3 linked regions of the Lepisosteus oculatus genome follow. The protein of the gene in region 2 binds, or shares a complex with, the protein of the main gene of each other region. Links are inferred from orthologs where the notes say so. Each region holds a gene or a part of one and is shown on either strand. Other genes may lie near its edges. The genes, in order: vgll4b, irf2bp2a and zbtb16a.

The links.
Region 1: the proteins of irf2bp2a (region 2) and vgll4b are in contact, whole or in part, in a crystal structure (PDB 8YTF), measured with the Homo sapiens proteins. The link is inferred for Lepisosteus oculatus from reciprocal best matches to the Homo sapiens genes IRF2BP2 and VGLL4. Residues at the interface, in NP_892017.2 of Homo sapiens: Thr516, His517, Phe518, Val519, Gln520, Pro522, Phe531, Leu557, Trp564, Ala565, Phe566, Met567, Glu570, Thr573, Ile574; in NP_055482.2 of Homo sapiens: Arg161, Ser163, Val164, Ile165, Thr166.
Region 3: the proteins of irf2bp2a (region 2) and zbtb16a are in contact, whole or in part, in a crystal structure (PDB 8YTH), measured with the Homo sapiens proteins. The link is inferred for Lepisosteus oculatus from reciprocal best matches to the Homo sapiens genes IRF2BP2 and ZBTB16. Residues at the interface, in NP_892017.2 of Homo sapiens: Thr516, His517, Phe518, Val519, Gln520, Pro522, Phe531, Leu557, Trp564, Ala565, Phe566, Met567, Glu570, Thr573, Ile574; in NP_001018011.1 of Homo sapiens: Arg285, Ser287, Val288, Ile289, Thr290, Ser291.

What each region holds. Positions count from the first base shown.
Region 1 is NC_090699.1:62,081,881-62,089,120, forward strand, and holds the start of vgll4b (transcription cofactor vestigial-like protein 4b), read right to left. Parts: upstream 3,034-7,240; 5' UTR 2,548-3,033; coding exon 2,466-2,547; intron 1-2,465. UniProt on the Homo sapiens protein: May act as a specific coactivator for the mammalian TEFs.
Region 2 is NC_090712.1:6,536,432-6,544,065, forward strand, and holds irf2bp2a (interferon regulatory factor 2-binding protein 2-A), read left to right. Parts: upstream 1-4,591; 5' UTR 4,592-4,904; coding exon 4,905-5,733; intron 5,734-6,160; coding exon 6,161-6,876; 3' UTR 6,877-7,301; downstream 7,302-7,634. UniProt on the Homo sapiens protein: Acts as a transcriptional corepressor in a IRF2-dependent manner; this repression is not mediated by histone deacetylase activities. Represses the NFAT1-dependent transactivation of NFAT-responsive promoters.
Region 3 is NC_090718.1:9,938,954-9,945,907, reverse strand, and holds the start of zbtb16a (zinc finger and BTB domain-containing protein 16-A), read right to left. Parts: upstream 3,095-6,954; 5' UTR 2,985-3,094; intron 2,617-2,984; exon of another isoform or gene 2,127-2,616; intron 1-2,126. UniProt on the Homo sapiens protein: Acts as a transcriptional repressor. Transcriptional repression may be mediated through recruitment of histone deacetylases to target promoters. May play a role in myeloid maturation and in the development and/or maintenance of other differentiated tissues.

The sequences.
Region 1 (7,240 bases), on a different chromosome or scaffold from region 2:
TAATCTCACGAGATCATAATGGATGTATCACAGCAATTCAAGAATTTATGACCAAAGATTGCTGATATTTAAGATTTGCCACACTTCGGGGGTTCTTACAAATACTTTCTTTGATTTGACTGATTGCAGCAGAAACACCTACTGAGTTCAAAACACTTTAAGCCCCGAGCATGCTTACTAAGGAATTTCAAAGAGAAGAAAGTCTTTGAGAGTGCTGTGCCTAAGTTAGCCATGTAGTAAGGATCACTGGAAAGTTCTGGAAAGTGTCTTAATCTAAAACTTTTTCTTCTTTTTTACTGTAAATGTACAGTTCGAATGCAGAAACATTGCAAAGCAGGTTCTGTATATATACAATAATCTTTGGAATGGCCTTGTAAAACATTGCACCTTAATGGCAACACGGGGAAACACATGTTGCAACATAACTTCTCCTCCACACGTGAGAATAAACTTACAGCTTAGTTCGTTGCCATTGTCTACGATTGGCCTTTCTTTGCAACTGTAAATTGGAGAAACGGATCCAAAACCTTCCTTAAAAGTTCCGTAGCACAAACCCTGGCTCGCCAACGGAGCAATTAAAGGTTTTACACCAGGACTCCACATTTTCTGCTACCTTCAGAACTAGAATATGAAAAACCTGAACGCTTTGTAGCTTCGCCACCTTACAGTGCACTGGCTTCCTGATCTGAACAGAGTACAAATCAGAACGAACCACAGATGTTTCTGCTCAGAATGCAGCCCATATCACATTACTGTCATTTGACAAGTGATTGCTGTGAACAGGAGGCTGGTACAGAGTGCTTCAGCTGCCCAGACTCCCAGACCATTCAGACAAGACCTGGAGTTTCTCTGATAAGCTCAAACCTCAAGACATTCAACAGATAACGGAATCCCTTGAACCGCTTTTAATAGGAAAACCATCAGCAGATCTCACTACTCCACACTAGCACAGAAAAGTGTCCATTTGCTGCATTGCTAACTTAAACATCATACCTCAGCTCAAATATATACAGTAGTACTAAAACACAGATAAGGCTAATTTTGAACTTTAGAGTATCTGATAAGCCCAGGTTTTAAATGCTGTCTGCTGTAGTGTTTTACAGTCAAGATCTTCAGATAACTGGAGATGATCACAACTGGAACATTCTAACAAGACAAGCTACAGAAACATTGAACAAGTACTGTATACGAAAACTGGTTTTGATCTTACAGAAACATAACTACCGCGATGTCTTTAGTTTCCCCACCCGGTATAGTTGTTAAACCCTGAAAAACCATTTCAGGACTGTGATTTCTGTGGTTATGATAGAAATCAAAGATGAATTCTAAAACTGAGAGCCACACTGCGTTGTGACAGCAGCGTGACATTCAAAACGTTTTATTGTTGAACTAGGTTTTAAATTACCGGACACATCACAGGAAAGCAAAAAAAGAGACCACAGCAACTGGTCTGTAAAGAATCTTCCTTTAAACAATTAAAGTTTTTAAGCTAAGTATGAAAACCATATGTCTCTTTACAAGGACAAATCTCTCCTCTCCAAATGACAATGACGCTAAACTTTCTCTCAACTACTTCCAAACTTCGGGAAAGCGTCTGGCCTTCCCTAGAAATAAATTGCAGCAACTGTCTGTGTGCGGTTTCAGTTAACAAAAAAACACTGCATTCTCAAATCTAATTAGTCGAGTACGGCCTTCTTTCCGTTATGTCGGCAAGCCATTGTAATTCGTTCAGTTTGCACGTAGTAAAGACGTGGTCGCAAGATATTTCACCGGACACCTCACTCAGCACATATTTCATAAGCAGCACAGCAATTAACTTTCACTACACGACGAACTCGATCTCCTCATTGATAAAAGCTCGCTTTCCTTCAAGGAAGGGAGGGGTTAGTGTGTCCGATTACTCCCCACTACGGGGCAGGAAACATCGTCCACTGTCGGTGATTTTTTTTTCCCCCCGTCCTCAGTTCAGCCCAGGAAATAAGTCAAACAAAGATTGAAGTCTGTACTACACCCGCCCCACCTCTGAACACTGCCATTTCAACACTGTCAAAAACCAGACGACGGCATCCCTTTGTTAATACGAAGTCACGTCTCCGAAACCATGTTATTTTAAAAGTAGTAGGAAAAGGAGTAGTCTGTACCAGCTAAGCTGGGACGTGATGCAATTTCCGTGCCCTCAAGACACTTTTTTTCCCCCCGCCAACCTGTTACATTACTAATTATGCAACGTAGCAAGGAATCTCATCAAATCGTGTTAACATTAAATTACAGAGGCGATATATTTTCATGAAAGCAAGGTTTTGTGTGCTAAAAATAAGGCACCGATCCGAAGACGTCACTAAAAAAACATCTGAAAACCCCCCTGGATAATTTGACACCGCTACTACAACAATGGCCTTGAAAAGCAACAATGTAAACGCTAGGGGTAAAAGAAACGCACACACACGCGAAAAGTTACGGTTTACCTTCGTAGCAAAGAATCCCAATGTTGTTGTTCATTTTGTCCAGATACTGGTAGTTCAACAGGTCCATTTTCGTAAGAAGCATTTATTGGGTTAGCAAAAAGACCAGCTTGTTTGCTTCCACCCAGGAGAGAGAGAGAGAAAACGGCACGACCGCTCGCTCAGCTTGTCTAGCACACAACTTCAAAAGCTAAAGGCCCAGCCTTTAACTTCTCTCTAAGCAAAACAAAAAAAAACTTCAACCCGTCAAGGGGTGATGCTTTCTTTAAAAGTAAGGGGCCGTATTGCGGTTTTCGCAAGGTTTTTAGAAAACCCTTGTGTATGCTGCGCTTTAAAAATAGATTTTGAAACTGTTGTTGGGACAAAAAGAGAGACGCGCCAGTTCTCCTCACAGCCCGCTGCAAGTTAACTGCACTGACAAGCAGGCTATGCGTGGTATGACTCGTATGTAAACCAGTTTCCTCTATGTAGGCTCTGGCCACTGGGCATGCTCGTTAAATCCCTGGAGCGCCTCAAATGTCAGGGATTTTTTCTGCACAAGATCAGCCCTCCAAAAGCGTCGAGGGCTTGAGCGAGTGAGGGAAATCACGAAGAGATGGAAAGGGGGCCCCCCCAAAAAAAGGCGGAGCCATGTTAGAACTGCGTGTCACAGGAAACAGTGCTGCCTCTGCGAAAATAAAATACAAAGAGGTCTTTTCAAGGATGCACAGTCTCCTTACTTTCCCCACACATAGTATTTATATTTAGAGCATTTCAATCATTGGAGTTCAGTATAAAATCTGCAAGAGCACAGAAAAAAAAACCGGTTGATCTAATAATAAAGTCTTGTTCCATACAGAGATTGTAAGACTGAAATCTGCCCGTTGTACGCCCAAATATTATTTAGGAGTTTTGCTTGTCAATGAACTGATCTTAATTCTTAAACTATCCCGCTTTTAATTGGACAAAAAAATATTCACAAATGTTCATATTTATTTGTGGTGGTGGAGGGGAGTCACTATTACCTGTAAAGCGCTTTGAGTGGAGTGTCAAGAAAAGCGCTATATAAGTGTAAGCAATTATTATATTAATTATAAAAAAAAACTTTGTTAAAGGCAAAGCTGACATGACATCAGTAATCAGCAAGCTGCTGAAACAACCAAATGTCTCCGTTATTTCTAAAAATTTCTTGGCAGGCCACGGCTACTTTATCTGGTTTTTAACATCTGTATTTGACACAGTAACAATTCAAAAAGTGTAACGACACGTTGATAGCAACAATAACACAAATATACATTCAAAAACACTTTTAAGGTAAAATCGTGGACTTCAGAGCAGTAAGACATGTACACAATATTGCAGCTTAGGAAAGTCTCACATTCTACATGGATTAAGCTATAGCGAAGGCCCTATCAGAAATGTAAACAATGCTTTATACAAGATAGAGGTATCAGAAGATACAATCTCTACAATAACAGAGGATTGTGGTTTTACACTGGAAAACCCCTTTCCAAGAAATCCCACTTTAACAGCCAGAGATCAAATAATCAAATGTATGTCTATAACGTGTACTAACAATGCTACAATTAATTACAAAATATTAAACGGAGATCTATAGGCCAGGAGCAGAATAGAACCGCTATAGAAACCATGTGTATGAGCAGTTTTATTTCTTAACATTTCATCATTTTATCATCTTGTTGCATATTGCAAATGAAGACGCAACCCTGAATTCAAACATTTTCCCAAAGAAAGCTTCTGCATAGTCCTTGTGTTTTTAACATAGGTTAAGATGTCTTTAGATGAATTATCAGTACCTAAACTCCAGTCTTAGTTATATTTAAAGGTTATCGTACTGAAATGCCTGCTTTGAGTTTAGAATAAAAAGCATGTTGACATATAACTTCGAGGAGGAAAAAAAACACTTTTTATATTGAAAAACCTTTACAGTAAAGAAAATAGTACTCATATGAATGAGTTTTAGCCCTCGAAGGCATGGTAAAAAAGTAAATGTGAAGAAATGTATTTTTAGGAACCGTCTCCTGGAAGCTTTTAATTCTGTTGATTATGAAATCTCCCAGGGTTCTGTGGTATTCTGAGGATTTTAGCCCTACATAATCTCTCTCAAAGAGCAATTACTGAGAAGTCAGTATTGTTTTCTGCGTTAAGTATGTTCTAGCTAAGCAGGATTTATGTTCTCCACAAAAGTAAACATCAGGTTCTGGGAAGAAGTTTTATATAACCATCCAAGCTAACCCAAAGTAATAGGTGTGCACACATCCTGCTTAATGCTTTGAAATATGATGACAGAAATTAAAACATTAAACAGACTAAGAAAGAAATGTTTGGCTTTAGATTCACTATGGTTAGTCATGAAGTTGTAGTTGCATATACATCTACGATTAACTGACACTTTTTAAAACAGTTAACAGATTTAGTGAACTCTTTTTAAGACCACTTTCATTAAAGATGAAACTTGAAAGACAATCTAGAGACACAGGGCAGCCATTCAGTCTGTAAAACCTGAAATAATTATAAATACTACAGCACAAACAAACATATCCTTGATATTAACAAGGAGAATCAGAAGTAAAACCAAAGATTTTAACTCCTCCAAAAAACATGAGCACAAACCATAAATTCAACTAGATGCTTGACAATCCATCACTTGCAACTCTTTTGTGGACAATCCCCAGCTAAATTTCTAAATAAAAGCTATGAGCTTTAATGCTGATCTTGAAACGCAGTATGCAAAATTCCATGCAATACTACACTGACCCCTAGTGGTAAATATATCCAGAATTCAATTTTCATGACGTTCAAGGCTAGGTCTTGAATTTTTAAAAATTAAAGCCAGCATTTTGTGGGGTTTAATGATAGGTCTCATGAACTCTCACTGAAGTAAAGCAATTCAAAGCATTTTTGCTAGAAAGTGTGTCCAACAAGGATGTTTTAAAAGGCATGAACAGCTTGTCTTTGAACAGACAGAACATATCATTTATTAACAGGCTGCAATAAGAAGAGGAAACCTCTAAGTAAAAAAACTTAAGCAACAATTTTCCTTAATTTTCTCATCTACCAATGTTACTACTGCAAATCATTTTTTAGCAATCCATGATCTTTACTCTGTTTCTTTAACATGCTGCCCAGGAACCTTTAGAAATGGTAGAGAAATGGACTGGAGTGTCCAGAAAAGTGCAATATAAGTGTAAGGAATTATTAATTAAGATGTGGGATTAGTAAGATTTCAGTAAGAAGATGATCAACAGCACTGTCCTACTGATAGATCTTGTTATACGTTATAAAACTATTATATATGCATGTAAGGCCAGCACAGAGCCACAGTTATTATCACTGGTCTCTGGAAGGATCCTGGAGTTTGCATATACTCCTTATGTCCACATGGGACTTTTCTGCCTGCTCCTATTTCTTCACACCTTCCAGGGATGTGCTGGCTATGATAACTAGCATCTCTAAATTCTCCTGGTGTGTGCATGCCCTGCAGGACACAGGCATCGCATCAAGGGTGCCCTCCTTGCATGCCCAGTGCTTACAGGAAAGACTCCAGGTTACAACACCCAGTGGCGCACACTGTGTTTCTGTACTGTCCAATAAAGAGGTAAAAAAAACACATCAGAGGTAGTTTCCAGAACATGTGGTTTCTCATTTGCTGCGGATTGGGTTTGCCTTGCATTAAGATGAAAGAAATGAAATATAGCAACGTCTTCTTGAATTAGGTTTAAACACGCAGGAGTCACAGGGCTCCACCTGAAACGTGTTTACACTGCACAAAACCCGACTTGTCTAGTCCACCTGGATTTAGAGCCTGACAAGACGTTAGACGATCACAACATCGCACTGCAGGTGGGTAGACACCCAGGTGGTAAGGCTTTCACAAACCACCATTACAACACTCCCAAAATCCTCTGCTCTGCACCTGCGATTTATTCCAGGTCATCAGAGTGATGAAAATCTCATCAATCAGGGCAAACCTCACTACCTTCAATCAATCCACACTGCAGCTGTGACTGTGGAAGGTTTGTGAATGCATTTCATTAGACAGTTAGATGGATGACTGACTCCTAAGGGGACAGGTAAAGGTGTAAACTATCCAGAATCACAGAGTCGGAAATCCCCCCACCCCCAAAGGACTTGTTCTGCTTCAGAATAGAGGATTGAGAATAAATTACTGCTTGGAATAAATCTGCTTCACTTCGCATTTTCAATACCCATCAACCAAACACTCAGAAGGGTCAGCAGGACACCAGCCACAGTGTCTGTCATTCTAGGTTTCACTAATTGCTAGAAATGCTTTGTTGACCTTGTCAAATATTCAGTCAAATGCGGACTGTTTTAAATTGACAGGTCCTAAATGGGTTTGAGGCAGAGGGAATAATAGCTAAAAAAACAGCAGCGAAAACAGATCTAGCCTATTGTTTCACACATTTACACACATAATGGACATTCAGGTAATAATAAAATTAAAAGGCTGACTTCCAAAAACTCAGGTTATTAACACAAAAGACTTTCAGGGCAACATGCTCTACCGCTGATTGGAAACATTTTCTGTAGCTATACTGTTTGATATAAAGGAACCTTTACTGTACAGCTCTAAAGCTCATGAAAGGCTAATCCATCATGTTGTACTAAACTATTACATATTAATATAGATCATATTACTTATGATCTCAAGAATGAAAGTGAACCATTCAAACAAAAGTCTTGAAATCCTTTGCATGTGAGGTTTGCCAACGGTGTCAAAATTCAGGTTTTTCAGGTCACATGTTGACAATATTGAT
Region 2 (7,634 bases):
AGATAAATTGGCAAAAATGGCCAATAAGCATGCACTATGGAAGACGCAGTCTTGTTTTTTATGTTCTATAATTACCCAACATGTTTTCTGTGTTCCGAACTTGTCATTACACAGAACTGGTGGCATAAAATACATCAGACTGCAAGCCGCAGAACACCGCAGGGATCCAGGCTAGATGTGGCAGATTAAAGCCATCATGTGTTGTGTTGACTGAAATTAAATATTTTCATCTCTTAGCTGAAAACGAAAAAGCTGAGTCAAGAGGCACAAACATTTATCTTACTTACTGAGGCGTCTGATCAAACTTGTCTTCGTGCCAGGCCTATTTTGTAACACGGCCTTTTGTAATGACCAGAAACGGTATGGCTTTTGTAAATAACCAACATAAATCATGATGTTCTCATTGTAATTACTATTTCAAGTTGCCTTGTAAGCACATTTTATAGTCCACCACAACTTTCTGGAAACATGGCAGTGTGGTATGAAGCTTGAAAAAAAGGGTATGTTACAGACAATCTGACAATCACCCTGATGGGGGCTGGCCTGCAACAATGTATAACATCGGACAAGTGCCTTTCTCTTTTCTACAGCCTATTCAGACATAAATCACGGATTGTAACAGCACACAATAGACATCTGTTGAGTATTTTTCCTTATGGAGCTCATAACAGAGGTTTGGGAGGAAGGTTAGATCTTAATCATGCACACTTCCGCTCTGCTACGTATATATATACATATCTCGCCTGGCGGGACTTCCCTTTGCGCATTTCTGTCGCACCCCTCCTGCCACCACATCCCCACCCTTGCAGCGGCTCCCTGGCTCATTCCTGCTGAGAGAGAGGGGGGTTCATTCAGCCTCATCCTTACAGTCAGACTGCCATTCCCCCAGCTAGGAGAAGCAGTACAATACACCCTCAAAGACACATTCATTAGGACCTCACCAAACTACTGACTTGAGAAATGAGGCACATTTTTAGATGAAAGACCACTCATTTATAACACTGCATTTTTCACACATCTCCGGTTAACAAAACCATGTATCTTTCTTCATCCATTGGGCTCCCAACGCATTTTCAGGAGGAAAAAAAAAAGATTTGACCTGACACAAGAATGGTTATTTTAACCCAAACACTCGGGAGTAAACGATTCTGCTGAGTAAAACCAATAAAAACATAGAATCATGTTACATATTACAATGGCAATCTTGGCACTATGTCCCAGTTACAAACTTCTCTACAGTATGGACCCCTATTGTTTGTAGTAGTGTCGCAATAAAGTGTAATGTGCAACACAAACCTTTTGTTTATGTGTGTCTATACAGTGAAAATGCATGCAAGCAATCTTAAAATAAATATCCTGAAGTCCAGTAGTGCAATCCATAACTAGATAACCCGAAAAAGTGTTAATTGATGTCTTCAGTTCACATTGATGTCAAACTAAAACAGCAAAGATATGAAAGAATTTCCTCTTAAGTCTCATCAGGGCTTTTCATACTTTTAACTTAACTCAAATTTTAAATATCCATCCTAAAGGAAAATACATTATTACATGCATTTTTGTACCATTTTTAAAAACTTTCGCAAAGAATTAAAGTAGTTTTCCTGCAACTCCCTGTTACAGCTCAAACTACTTGTAATCTTTTTATATCGCATGTGTTACCAGTGGTCTTTCAAATGAATACAAGGATGAAAAACTACTTAAGAGGAACAGTACAAACGAGGCATCTGGCAGTTCAGACAGATCAGTCGAACTTTCTAGATACAGTCAAATTTTAGAATACATCTCCGTTTGTCCTTGTCTGGAAATGCCTTTTAATTTACAGCAATCACTCAACGTTTCCGCGTCCATTGAGAAACACGTTTGTACCTCATTTATGAAATCCTAATCTAAATCTTGCAAAACTGTGAACCGAATTTTAGGACCACGCCTCTGATTACAAACTAAATATAGTCTTAACAAGCGCCTTTTAGTAACTTCCGCCATTGCAGATTAAAATTAGTAATGCTTCGGGTTTTTTTTTTCTGGGACGTAACACAACTACGCAAAAACAATAATCAGAGCAAGGTCTGCAAGCTAGCATCTTTGAAAAACACCAGCATGCAAACTGAAACAGCACTAAGTAGCCCGAATGCTTAAATGCCATTGAAAGCAGCACACTAGCACAATACTATAATGGTGTTTTTTGGGGCAGGTCTGATTCCGGGAGCCAGGCAGTGGCACTGCGCATGCCCCGGTCTCTGGCTCGGCGCCAGGTGGTTCAGCTTGTTGTTCTAGCGGGGTTGGGCGAGGTAAGACGCGGGTACGTGACTAAACATCTTACTTCCTCTTTCGAACGTCGTCACGAGGGCTTTGCAAAAACAAATTCTGCTTTGTGTCTGCAGATTTCAGACGCATTGCCTCACCCGTGAAAACTGAGCAGCAGCAGCAGCTACGGCCAGTTTGGAATCAGGCCAATTTCATCAAGGCGGTGAAAACAAAACAAAATTACCGGTTATAGTTTTGCCTGCCCTGGTGAAGTTAAATATGCGGGTAGCTGGGCGTTCAGTCTGCTCTCTTGCATTCATGCAGAAAAAGAAATGCAGTTTAAATGATTTTTTCGCGTCCATTGCACGTAATTACGACCCTTTTCTTTCGGTTAAAGCCAATTCTGGATTTTTTTTTCCCTTTGAGAGATCACAGTTTTCAGCGGGAGACAATACCACTACGTGAAAGTACGAAGAATAAAACGTTTTTAAAACTGCACATATTGGTTTTAAAACGATTTAAACATCTTCCGTTTCAAGGAATGACATTATTTCCGATTTGCCCTATGCAATGCGGTGCAAGTATCAGATTGTTACTTTTAAACATCAGTTTGTTATTGTAGTCGGAATAAATAAAGTCCGCTACTTTAAAAACGGGAGATTTTCTGAGGCGCTGCGTTTGTACATCTGCACCTCTGTGGTAGTTTAAAAACAACACGACCTGTTGCTATCTTTTGAACTGGAAATCCCCAGGCCATGCGACAGCTGAAAACCTGAATGCTAAGTGTTTGGTTTCGGCTTCATTTCCTTTGTGTAATTTAAGAAAGCAGTTTCAATAGATTGAAAAAAACGCCTACTCACTCCAGTGTTTAAAATGAATAGAGTGTGCAGCTACTGTAGCATTTCCAATAGTAACAAGCCTGTGACGGCCACATGACAAGGTCAACATAAGCCCAGAGAATAATATTTATTGGCAGGGAGAATATTCGTTCTAATTGCGACCTATTAATACAGTACTGTGCAGTATAACTTGGTTATTTTTGCATCGTGTTATTCGTCTACATAAATTACCAATGCGTTCTATTGCTTTTAGTTATGTGAATGCAATCGGATACATACTATTTATATCGCCGAACAGTAAAATGTAACACATTCGCTACACGTATGTTACAAATTATATCCAGGAATAAACACTCCTCTGTGGCTGCCACCGGCATACCTAAATGTGAGGTTTGTAAAGCCCATCTTTCTGTTGCGTTTATAATTTAGTGCCGGGCTTCACGAAGTAGCACAAATTACGCTCAACGATGTCCGTTTTAATATCCTTAAAGAATTATACTGCCAGTAACATGTGGGGCGAAAATTAGACATGACTTCTGCGTACTCAGGAATTTGTCTTTCTTTTAAAAAAAGAGGGGGGCACGGAGACGATTGCAGAACTCAGTCCGCAGAATGCAAGTCGAGCGAGCTGTTGTTTTCACGGTTAGCTGAGGGCGGTGTCGAGTGTGACGCGGCGCTGGTATTCTGGCTGGAATGTGGATTTGCTAAATGGGTCTGGGAAGTGCCAACTGCATAGAGTCACGTACTTATTGAGCATGCGTGGAACAGCCGGGAAACTGGAGAACATTGGTGACGCAACTGGCAGAGTCTGGTTGCTTAAAGGGCATTAACACTTTGTAGCCGGGATCCACCGTCTCCTTCCAAACGAATACCTACCACAACCTAGTTTTCAAATGCACTAACGCAGCAATATATATATATAAAAAAAAACTATAACATAAGACTACCGCCACCAATTCAGTGATTTCCACCGGTCACGACTGGCATCTCTCCTTACAATTTCCACTTTCCCCCCACAGACTGAAAACATGCTGACATCGCTTTTGTCTGCTGAAATCGGGCGCAATCCGACCTACTGCGACGGTTTGTTTTTTTGCGGTTTTAAGGACACACCACGCAGGAATGGTGTTTTCATTAAAAAAACAAAACCAAAAAAAACACCACCAACGTAGTCCCCCACGTAGGTTATCCAGCACGTTTTTTTTTTTAAAAAAGCAAAGCACATTAAAGTTTTTTTTTCCCTCCTATGAATAAGGTCTTCCCATTGCCACAGTCCTCTCTAAACGGTGCTTTCTTTTTGTTTAATAAATTGAAAGGAGAAACGGAAGCAAAGTACGAGTTGGAGGGAGAGAGGGGGTGGGGGTAGGACAAAACAGCAAACAGTTGAAGTCTGCCTTCCTGCAGTCATCGGCTTTGCGCTCTCGGGCTGAGGTACTGTAGTATTTCTGGCATCGGTTCAATTGATTTTAAAAAAAGGGGGCAGAGACTGCTAGACAGCGCATGCGCTGGAGGGGGGCTGTCGAAGAATCAAGTAAATAGAATTGGAGCTGGAACCACAAGTTTAGTGTTCGCGATGACGTCACCGCTCCACATTGAGCCGGAGCAGTAGTAGTGTGGGAGATAGATAGAGCCGCGCTATAGTAAAGTACACACTGCCATGAACTTCTGTTTGTAACTTAATTGTTGTTGCAGCAGTCAGGAGGGGAAAAAAGGAAACAACAAAAGTTTTTTTTTTCTTTTTCTGGCTGTATCTGATTTTAACAGCAACGAGCACGCAGGCATCTGGAGGAAGACCGTTGAATACTTTTTTTTGCAAAAGCTATGTCGTCCGCGGCGATTGCTGCTTCCAGACGGCAGTCATGTTATTTATGTGACTTGCCCCGCATGCCGTGGGCTATGATCTGGGATTTTTCTGAGGCTGTCTGCAGAGGATGTGTCAACTACGAGGGAGCAGACCGGATTGAGTTTGTGATCGAGACAGCCCGGCAGCTGAAGAGGGCTCACGGCTTCCAGGAAGGGAGATCGCCGGGGCCGGTGAAACCTCAGCTCTCGGGGAAGGAGATCCAGCCCATCAACCACACGGCGGCGGACCCGGGATCTCGCCTGCCGCAGCCCCTGGATCGCTACCCCCTCGCCTCGGACCGGCCGCCGCGACTCGGTCCAGAGTATCCGACTGGCAGGCAGTCTAACGGCATCCCTGTCCCAAATGGATTCCCCAAACCCGACGACCCCCCGGAGCTGAACAGGCAAAGCCCCAATCCCCGCAGGACTAGCACGGTCCACGCGAATATAGTGCCTTTGGTGAACGGGACCCTGCCGCCCGTGCACGCTGTCAACGGCAGGTCGGCGCAAATGGGCATCCCGGCGGCGCTAACAGCGGCCGGCCAGAACGAGATCAGCGGCAAGCGGCCGGCCTCCGTGTCCAGCACGGAGCACGACAGGGAGCTGAAGGACAAGCACAGGGCGGACAGCCTGTCCGAGCTGGGGGAGAGCCACAAGAACCGGCCGGACGAGTGGATTACCAAAGGGAAGACGGTCAGGGACTTAATGGCGTTCCACACGATGGACGGCCGGTACAAGAAGGACCACGCAGCGATGCCACAGGGCAGGGTGATGGGCTACGACGCCAACGCCACCGCTTCGAAGCCAGGTAAGCGTCCCCCGACAGAGCCCCGCTTTTCTTTCGCCCCCTGTTTTCGCTGAGCGTGTGTTTTCAGACCAGAAGGACGCGTCTCGACTGAGTCAGCCTCTCTTGCAGCAGACGTGCTAACGGGTATTTCCGCTGATTATCATTCTTTTCGTGTGAGGGCTCAGGGCTCTACTGTACAGGGGGTGATTACAGTACACAGCAGCACGGTTCCCTGCCCGCCTCATTTTTTCCATGTGTTATTTGTGTTGTAATTTAAAACGTGGGGGTTTGCAGTGCGGATCAAAGAGCGGACCGAAAGCGGTGCCTGTTTAGGGCTTTCATGCATGATTTGATGTGCTTGCCGTTAGCCCAAATTTACGTGTTGTTTTTTAAACTTCCCCAACCCCTCCCCCCCTGCCGCCACCACCACCACCACCACCACCACCAGACAGAGGCAAGCATCCCCGGAACATGAAGAGAAAGGCGTCGCCAGAGCCCGAGGGAGAGAGCACCGCCGGGAAGATGAATGGCGAGGGTCAGTGGCAGCCGGCCGCGGCGGAGGTCCTGAAGATGCCCACGGTGCCCCCGAGCTTCGCCACGGCGCCGTCCACCATCTCGCCCCATTCCAACCGCACGACCCCGCCGGAGGCCGCGCAGAACGGCCAGTCGCCGATGGCCGCCCTCATCCTGGCGGCGGACAACGCTGGGGGCAACAGCTCGCCCAAGGATGCCAACCAGGTGCACTCGACCACCCGCCGGAACAGCAACAGCCCGCTGTCGCCCTCCTCCATGAGCCAAAGGAGACTGGGGCAGAGGGAGGCGCCGGGCGCGGGGACGCCGCACGTGCCGGGCATGGACCAGGTGCACCCGCAGAGCATTCCAGACTCTTCCGTGCCCAACAGCATCCCGCTGTGCTGCACCCTCTGCCACGAGCGGTTAGAGGACACGCATTTCGTGCAGTGCCCGTCCGTGCCGTCACACAAGTTCTGCTTCCCGTGTTCCAGGGAGAGCATCAAGCAGCAGGGCGCCACCGGGGAGGTGTACTGCCCCAGCGGGGAGAAGTGTCCACTGGTGGGCTCCAACGTGCCCTGGGCGTTTATGCAAGGTGAAATAGCCACCATTCTTGCAGGGGACGTCAAAGTAAAAAAGGAGAGGGACCCTTGATTTTATTATCGTTTTTTTTTTTAAAAAAAAACAACGACAACAACAACAAAATATATAAATATAAATTACACGCATACCATCCAAACAAAACTAATGGACTTGTACATATTGGACGCGAGCGAGGAAAGTGTATACTTCATAAACATGGCTGTATAATTTTTGATTTTTGAATACATTGTGTTTCTATATTTTTGAAGATAAAGGTATGTACTCATTATAATGGACTACATTTCCACCCCTTTTTTGTTGATGTTTAAGCCGACTCTCTCGATGTTACCTTTTCGGTCTGGTGGCAGTTTCTGTTAAACGTAGAATGTGACTAATGCTACTCTAAGCACTTGACGCAACTGAAATGCTTTTAGCTGTACTTGTATGCACTTGTTTAAAAAAATTGCCAAATACAATTTCTGACCTTGTAATAATAACTTAGTGTCTGTGATTGCTTATTCTTCGTAATCAGCAAAGCCCTAGAGAGAGGTCTACCCTGCCGATAATGGATCAACGCAGCTAGTGACGCAATTAGCTGGAGCACGAAACCAGCGATAGTGTAACACAGCGCAGAAAAGAGAACCGATATCGAAGCCGTAGGCTTGCTCGTCTTCCTAAAGCATTGCATGTCTCGACACTTCCGCGACGGGCTTGTTTTGGCTCGGCAACAAAATATTTCCCTCATTTGTCAGCACTGAATAACAAAAACTGCGAGGCGGCGAAATACATCTGTGTCGTTGTGTGTGTGTGTGGGGGGGGGGGCAGTGAGT
Region 3 (6,954 bases), on a different chromosome or scaffold from region 2:
GTATTTGGCAATCCACCTAAGCAGGAAAATATTTTTTTTCTTGCAAGAAATAAATTTAAGGATGAATCTATTTCTAATGGTTTAGACCTCTGTGAACTCACAAAAAGAAAACTTAAATCACGAATGTGCACATTTGTAGACGCAAAAAATCCTTTACATTTTTTTAAACAAAAAGAGCAGCATTAGACGAAATCTATCAAGCCAAGGTCTAACTTTGATCGAGATTCCATATTTCCATTTTCATATCAACAAAAACTTTTGCGCATTTAAAAGAAAGACGTTTTACTTTTTATCGATCCTACCAGGCATTACAAGCGTAGCAAACGAATAGTTTACACATTAATGGTGAGTAAAGTGCATTACCTAATAAAAATAAATACAGCATCTTTCTGGTCCATAATACTTTCATCGAAAAAGGGTTATAAGTGCATTCAAAACACAGATTAAACCTAATCATTGCTAGTAAATCAGCAGACTGTACAGATACAAGGGAATGTGACTGGTTAATCAAACGGCTGCATTCACAACAGGGAGGGGATTTCAACACGAAGCATTCTTGTAGTAAGCATTCAGTACTGTACATAAACTGGAGTTTTCTTTAAATTGTGAAAATACATGTTAAGAGTTACTTGCCTACTTTGGGTTTTGAGCAAATGTAACACCACATATTATGTAAACAAACACCACAAAGGTACATGAATGTGTGTACACAAACATCTTTAATATTTTATCATCTTTATCATCTGAGGCTTCACTTCACTTTAGACTGGGAATTTTCTTAAAGCCTACCAGAAAACATTTTTCAAACTCTTAAGTGTAATGCAACTCATCCAACGCACGAAATAAGACAGTCCAGTTGCTACTGCAGAAAAAAAAAACTTATTTTTGTTTCATAGTTTTATTTTAAACGTCTTAACACGACGTTCATCTATAAATCGAGGGAAAAGATTTAACACGTTATGGACCTTCGCGCATTATAAGCAAAAATAAATTACATGGCACATAATATCCCCTGAGTATTTTAAACATGCAAAACTTCTTGGGAGCACCTTTTACATCGCTTTTTCAGAATAAAATCAGAAATAGCCCATTTTGTGCTTTCTTGCCAAACATAATACAATTCGTAACGCTTTCAATGATACGTTTAAATCTGTAACGCATTCTGTAACGATATAATTAAAACTAAATCGATATACAATATACTGTATGACATCTGAATGTGGGGTTAGGGTCATCATGCGAAAGAAGCACGTCTACTGCACATATACTGACTTGATTTACATGCTATTGGACGTCGGATTACGACTTCAATTGAATTTCCACTTACTGTGTTATTTATAAGACATGAAACGTCATTATTAACCGTTGCGCGAAAAAATTAAAAAGTATTAGCAGAATAGTAAAACACATGGGAGAAAAGCACAAACTTCTGAACGTATTAAGTAGTTTATAAAATATTCCACAAAAATATCAACTGTCTTAATATACAAAGCGCACAAGATTTACTATCATGGCACTTTCCAGAGCGCAAAAGCAAAAGTGCTTCGTGTTTTAGCTAATATTTCTTAAGGAGTAAACAGTTATAGCAGGCTATATTTTACTATAAATGTTTTGAAGCACGGTTTTATATTACCCACAAAAAGTCGATACATTGTGGTTTCAAGAAACAAAACACCGCACTTTTACAACAGCAATTTTTAATTAATGCTACCCCTGCCTAATTATCCACTGTACTCCGGGCTTCAACGTAGACTGTATCGTTAAACACAGAATGCGTACCGAGAAACAGACCAAAATAACGCATTTCCCGAAAAAGAAAACATGTTATGGAAACGCTAATACATATTTATAACAGTAACAGAACAACACCGTCACAATGACTTACTGAACATCGCTGCTTCTCCGAGATTTCGGAAAAAAATAATCCACTACCCGAAAAAAATCTCTCCCAACTACAATTGATTGAATCACGCTTTTAATTGGTGACTTCAGAGAAGCCACTGATTAACCCACGTGAATCGCCTATAGTAATTTCTCATAATGCTAAAATAAGAAACATTTGACATGTTAATTCCATGCTGGATTATTTGATTCTTTTAAAAGGCACCTAAGTAGTAAAATCCTACCTTGCACGTTCACTGTTACAGAAGACCTTAAAAATAATTTTCTTTGCCCGCAAAGGCTTGCCTGCAGAAAATTGGTGGCTTCAAAAATCTAGCGATTTATTAGCCCTTAGCTACCAATCCAACACTTTCTCGTCTGTATGATGTGCAGTATCATTCCGTCTGATCTCTGTGCCCAATAAATGTTCAGCTTCCTAACCCACACCGGTGTTGGTAATAATTTCACACCACGGCTCCCGCGACCACTGTCTGTAAACGCATCAAGTGCATGAAGCCACTGCATTTGTTACAGCTACTTCACAAATATTTACACATAAAATGACCCTGTACAATGGTTGTGATGATAATATGTTTGTATACAGTCTTCCGCAGATTCAGAACATGGGTATCTCCTCATATGATAAAGCTATTCACAAGGTAGGCACTGTCTGCTGAGCAGTCAACTGTACAGTCAGACCACACGTTTCTCTTGTTGCGATCTCCAGAATACTAAAACAGCGAGCAGCGTCAACATCAGAATTCGTTTATATATATATATGATTATAAATCTCTCAAATGGAAACAACTTTGGATTTCCAAATATCATACAGTAATGTCTCATTACTTTTGCAGTGTATTTCGCAAAATGCGAAAACATCCTCCCCCTCCTGAAAGCGATCATGAAGACCTCGATTTAGCGACACGGTATTGGAGACAGTGTAACTTCTGGGGGTTTGTTAAGCGTAACATTACCGACGAGTTGGTCCTTTACACTTTTACTGTACCAACAGCAGAGCAAAAACAAATAAGCATGCAGAGTGACGGGACTGTTTGCTATGCATTTGTGTAGAAGCTGCTAGCCCGTAAGATATGTGTACTTACCTAGGTTGCACGTTAAATTTCCGAATGTGTTGTTATTGGGGCAGCAGCATAGTAACGCAACAGTTCACAGTACCCGCTCTCACACGCACTAGCTCCTCTCTGCTTTAGGGTTAGCAAATCAACACAGTGGTGACGTCACCGCACTGACTCACTCTTTTTCTTTCTTTAGCACCACAAAACGCTGCGAAAGTGAGACACCTAGGGGGCTGCCATCTTTAATGCTGGCTTTAAAAAAACTACGGAGAAAGTATTTTCGAGCGTGTGTAGATACAGTAAATTACAGAAGCGCCATGATTAGTTTTGGTGTGCTTCGCCTTTTGTTTTTTGTTTTTCAACCGGAGTTTTAAATCTGGCACGTGTGGAAATGCTCTTTTAAATAACATGCGCTACAAATGACGGATTACGGGGCTGTAAAAGAGTAATGTAACAGGCTAAAATCATTTTACTGACAGAAAAATGATGGAAAGGAATTGCGTACTAAATTTGGAGGGACGTGTTTAGGAACTAATTATGCCATACAGTAAAATGCCATCAGCCTCAGGTTTTTTTAAAATAGCACTGTCTAGACGGTGAAATAACGTTTAATGGAAAATGTTTGTGAGACTTGAATACAAAAACGTGTAAACTGTCGTCCTGAAATGATACATTTTTAAAAATATATGAATGACTATAGACTTTTAAGTACAAAATGCATGGGGCCGCGTTATGCATAACACTCAATTTGTTAAAACATAACGTGTAAGAAGCCTATAAATAAATAATTCTCACTGACGCCAAATAAACAGGTGAACAATGTTTGTTTTTGCAGATCATTAACAGGCATTACAACTGCCATGTATATAACACACACGCTGCAAAAAAAAAACCCGATTTATTAGCAATATTTAAGTCATATGTTGCGCGTGTTAGATTCAGTGCAGCACATTTAGCGGACCTTAATCAGATGTTTCAAATGATGTACAGATCCCGTCAATAGAAGTCAATACTCCGTGCGTCGTGGTGAGCAAAAACTGTATTTCAACATCACGCATGTGATCCGCAACTTCATAATTGTAAGTGAATTCCTGACAGTACCCCGCTGTCACGGACACGGTCTTTTGCTCGATCAGTTGCGTTTTGCAGGTCACTTGTAGCGCCTAGATTTAATTTAATTAGGCATCACTGTAACATGTAACAATGTAACTATGGGTAGTATCTGATTAACCAGGTCTAAAAACAAGTGCTGGACAGCGCTAAAGCATCGCTTCTGCCAGCATCAAATATGGAGTCGATGATCTACACATTTTAAAGATACAGCGCACATGCAAAGCCCCGATTGACATACTGTATTCAATAGTATCCTCGCTGAGTTATCAGATTTTCTGAAGCTACAAGTATTGTTCCACAAGTACTATAGCAGTTTGCTCTACACTGTATCCCGTGACAGACACGGGAAGACGCAACTGCTTAGTTGTACATCAGATTCCTCCAATGCACTGAACGTTTTGTACTTGAAAGATGAAACAATACACTGCGCCGTCCTCATAATTCCTAAAAAAAAAGTGACATAATTAGTCTTTAAATTTGACCTGCAGGTACCCGTCATTAAAAAATAGTAGAGTATGAGAATGCATAAAAAACACACCACTTTTGCAGGTTATTTTTATGGATAATAAAAATGTTCCCACCAGTAGGTTAAATGTTATTCTTAACACTTCTTTAAGTTACAAAATTACACTTAGAGAAAAGGACCCATTGTGCCAATGACTTTTTAAAATAACCAGTCTATTCATATGACTAGTGTGTTCTTCAAGCTATGAATATTCCATGAAAGTAACAGCTGATAGACTCATGTTATAGACATTGTTTTAACAATTTGAAATGCTTTCCTGGGGTGGTTTTCCCTATCTAAAATAGCTACACAGTTAAGGCTGGTGTATAAGCTGTTAGTTCTGCTTCCTTGTACAGTAAGTCTCTGTTTTAAAGCACATATACTGTATACGGTATTTACCATTAAACTTTCTACATTGCGGCATTACCCACGACTCAATTGTTTTTCCTTTGAATGATATACATGCACTGTACCCATAAATGTACTCTTGAAATGTAAAGGCTGAAGTGCAGGATACTGGCCTTAATAATGAAGCAATATTACTATCATCATCATAATTATTTGAAGTAGTAATAGCGATAGTACACCTAAAGTACAGTATGGTATTTAGATTTTAACATACTGTATAGTTTGCATTTGTATTAGTTTAACAGTCTGTTAATTGCTTTTCTAAATGATTTCCTTTAGCTAGCTGCATTACTGCATGAAGTTAAGTTTTGAACTGTGTTATTTGGGTGTTCAAAAAGGTGGTAAAGATGAAGGTGCTCTGTGTATTGTGTAAAATCTGTTTCGATAATCACAAGATAAATAACCCCGTATGCATTTTTAAACACACACAATATGCACTGTTGTGATAGAAAATCATAACCTTTTCAAGGATTCCAAAAATATACATAAGATATCAGATTGGAAATGATGGCACTGAGCAAGTGTTAGTGATGGAAAAATGCGCCTTTCATTCAATGGAACTTTAGATGTGAATATAAAGTGAGCAGCAGAGCAGTTTCTTCATAGGGTACAGATTTTTGTAAGAAAGAACACTATTTTATTGACCTATGAAGATACAGTGGCATATTATTATTATTATCATTATTGAACTATATGAACTAACTTATTTCTGGTCACACCTTTATTAGTACTTGAATACAGATTTGTGTGCAGCAGGTCTTCCTTAATTTACTGTATGTGCAGGCATTGGCCTAAAAAACATCAACTCAAGAGTATATTGTCTTCAGAGCTTCAAAACCCAGAACCACAATGCTCATAAAAAAATAAACTGTGGACTCAGACTGAAAGCCTTGTTGCTTGCTTCAAGAGCGTGACTATTAATTAATCCATACAGTGAATAAAATACTAACCAGTATTCTATATGTTCCAAATACCCATTGTTGATTATTTATGACTACCACAGATTGTAAAAAGAAATATTTAATATACATATGGCATTGACGAAAATATTATAATCTTTATTCTCCAAATAAAAAGGCAAAAAGTACTCCACCACGATTAAAATTTCAGGGTCATTCAGATTGTGGTCACAAGGTACTTTTTAACCTCTGTGCTTTGGTTTCCTGAGACTTACTTCTGGATACAGAAAAAAGGAAAGGCCTTAATCTTCAATTAATCCCTGTTTCACTGAGAGAAAGGGGATTGGTGTCTTGAAACAACACTCGGCAGCGAGGAACAACCACAAATATTCATTGTGAAGAAATCTTCCTTTCTGTTTTCTCAGGCCCTGCTTTGAAGCCTGGGGGTGGTTAATGCCGTTAAAGTGAGATTAATGCCTGAGTTTAGGACGAGTAAGGTGAGAGAGGGAGGCTGGGCTTTTTCGGCAGTTTGCCAGCCTTTGACACAGACTATGGGCCACTCTGATTCAGAGTCAGAACGAGGAGCTGCAAGATAACACCTGCTGTACACAGCTGAAGCCACTGATCTGAAAGCAAGTGCTCTGATAACACTGTAAAACATTTATCCATCTATTAATGACAATGAGGTGCAGGATTGCAAAGTAAAAGTTATGGGAGATGGTATTGGGACTCGTATTACACACAGAGAAGAAAATCTGTACTGTACATATTCCAGCTTTCAGTTATTTTGTATTATGCCGAAACTCTGCTTTCCACAATCCATTACAAACTGAGACTGGTAAGCACTTGCATAGAAAATCAATTTACCTATACAACTGTGGATTGCTGACTAATACATGTGATCCCCAGACCAAATGGTGAGATGGTAACAGGGAAAGCTTTGATCAGACCCCGACTCTCACCTTGACTACAGTGGACACCTTGAGTCTAAAGTACTTATCTATAGTCTATAGTCTGGTATGTACTTTAACTCTATATACCTTTGTATATACTGTACAGTACAAAGCAATAG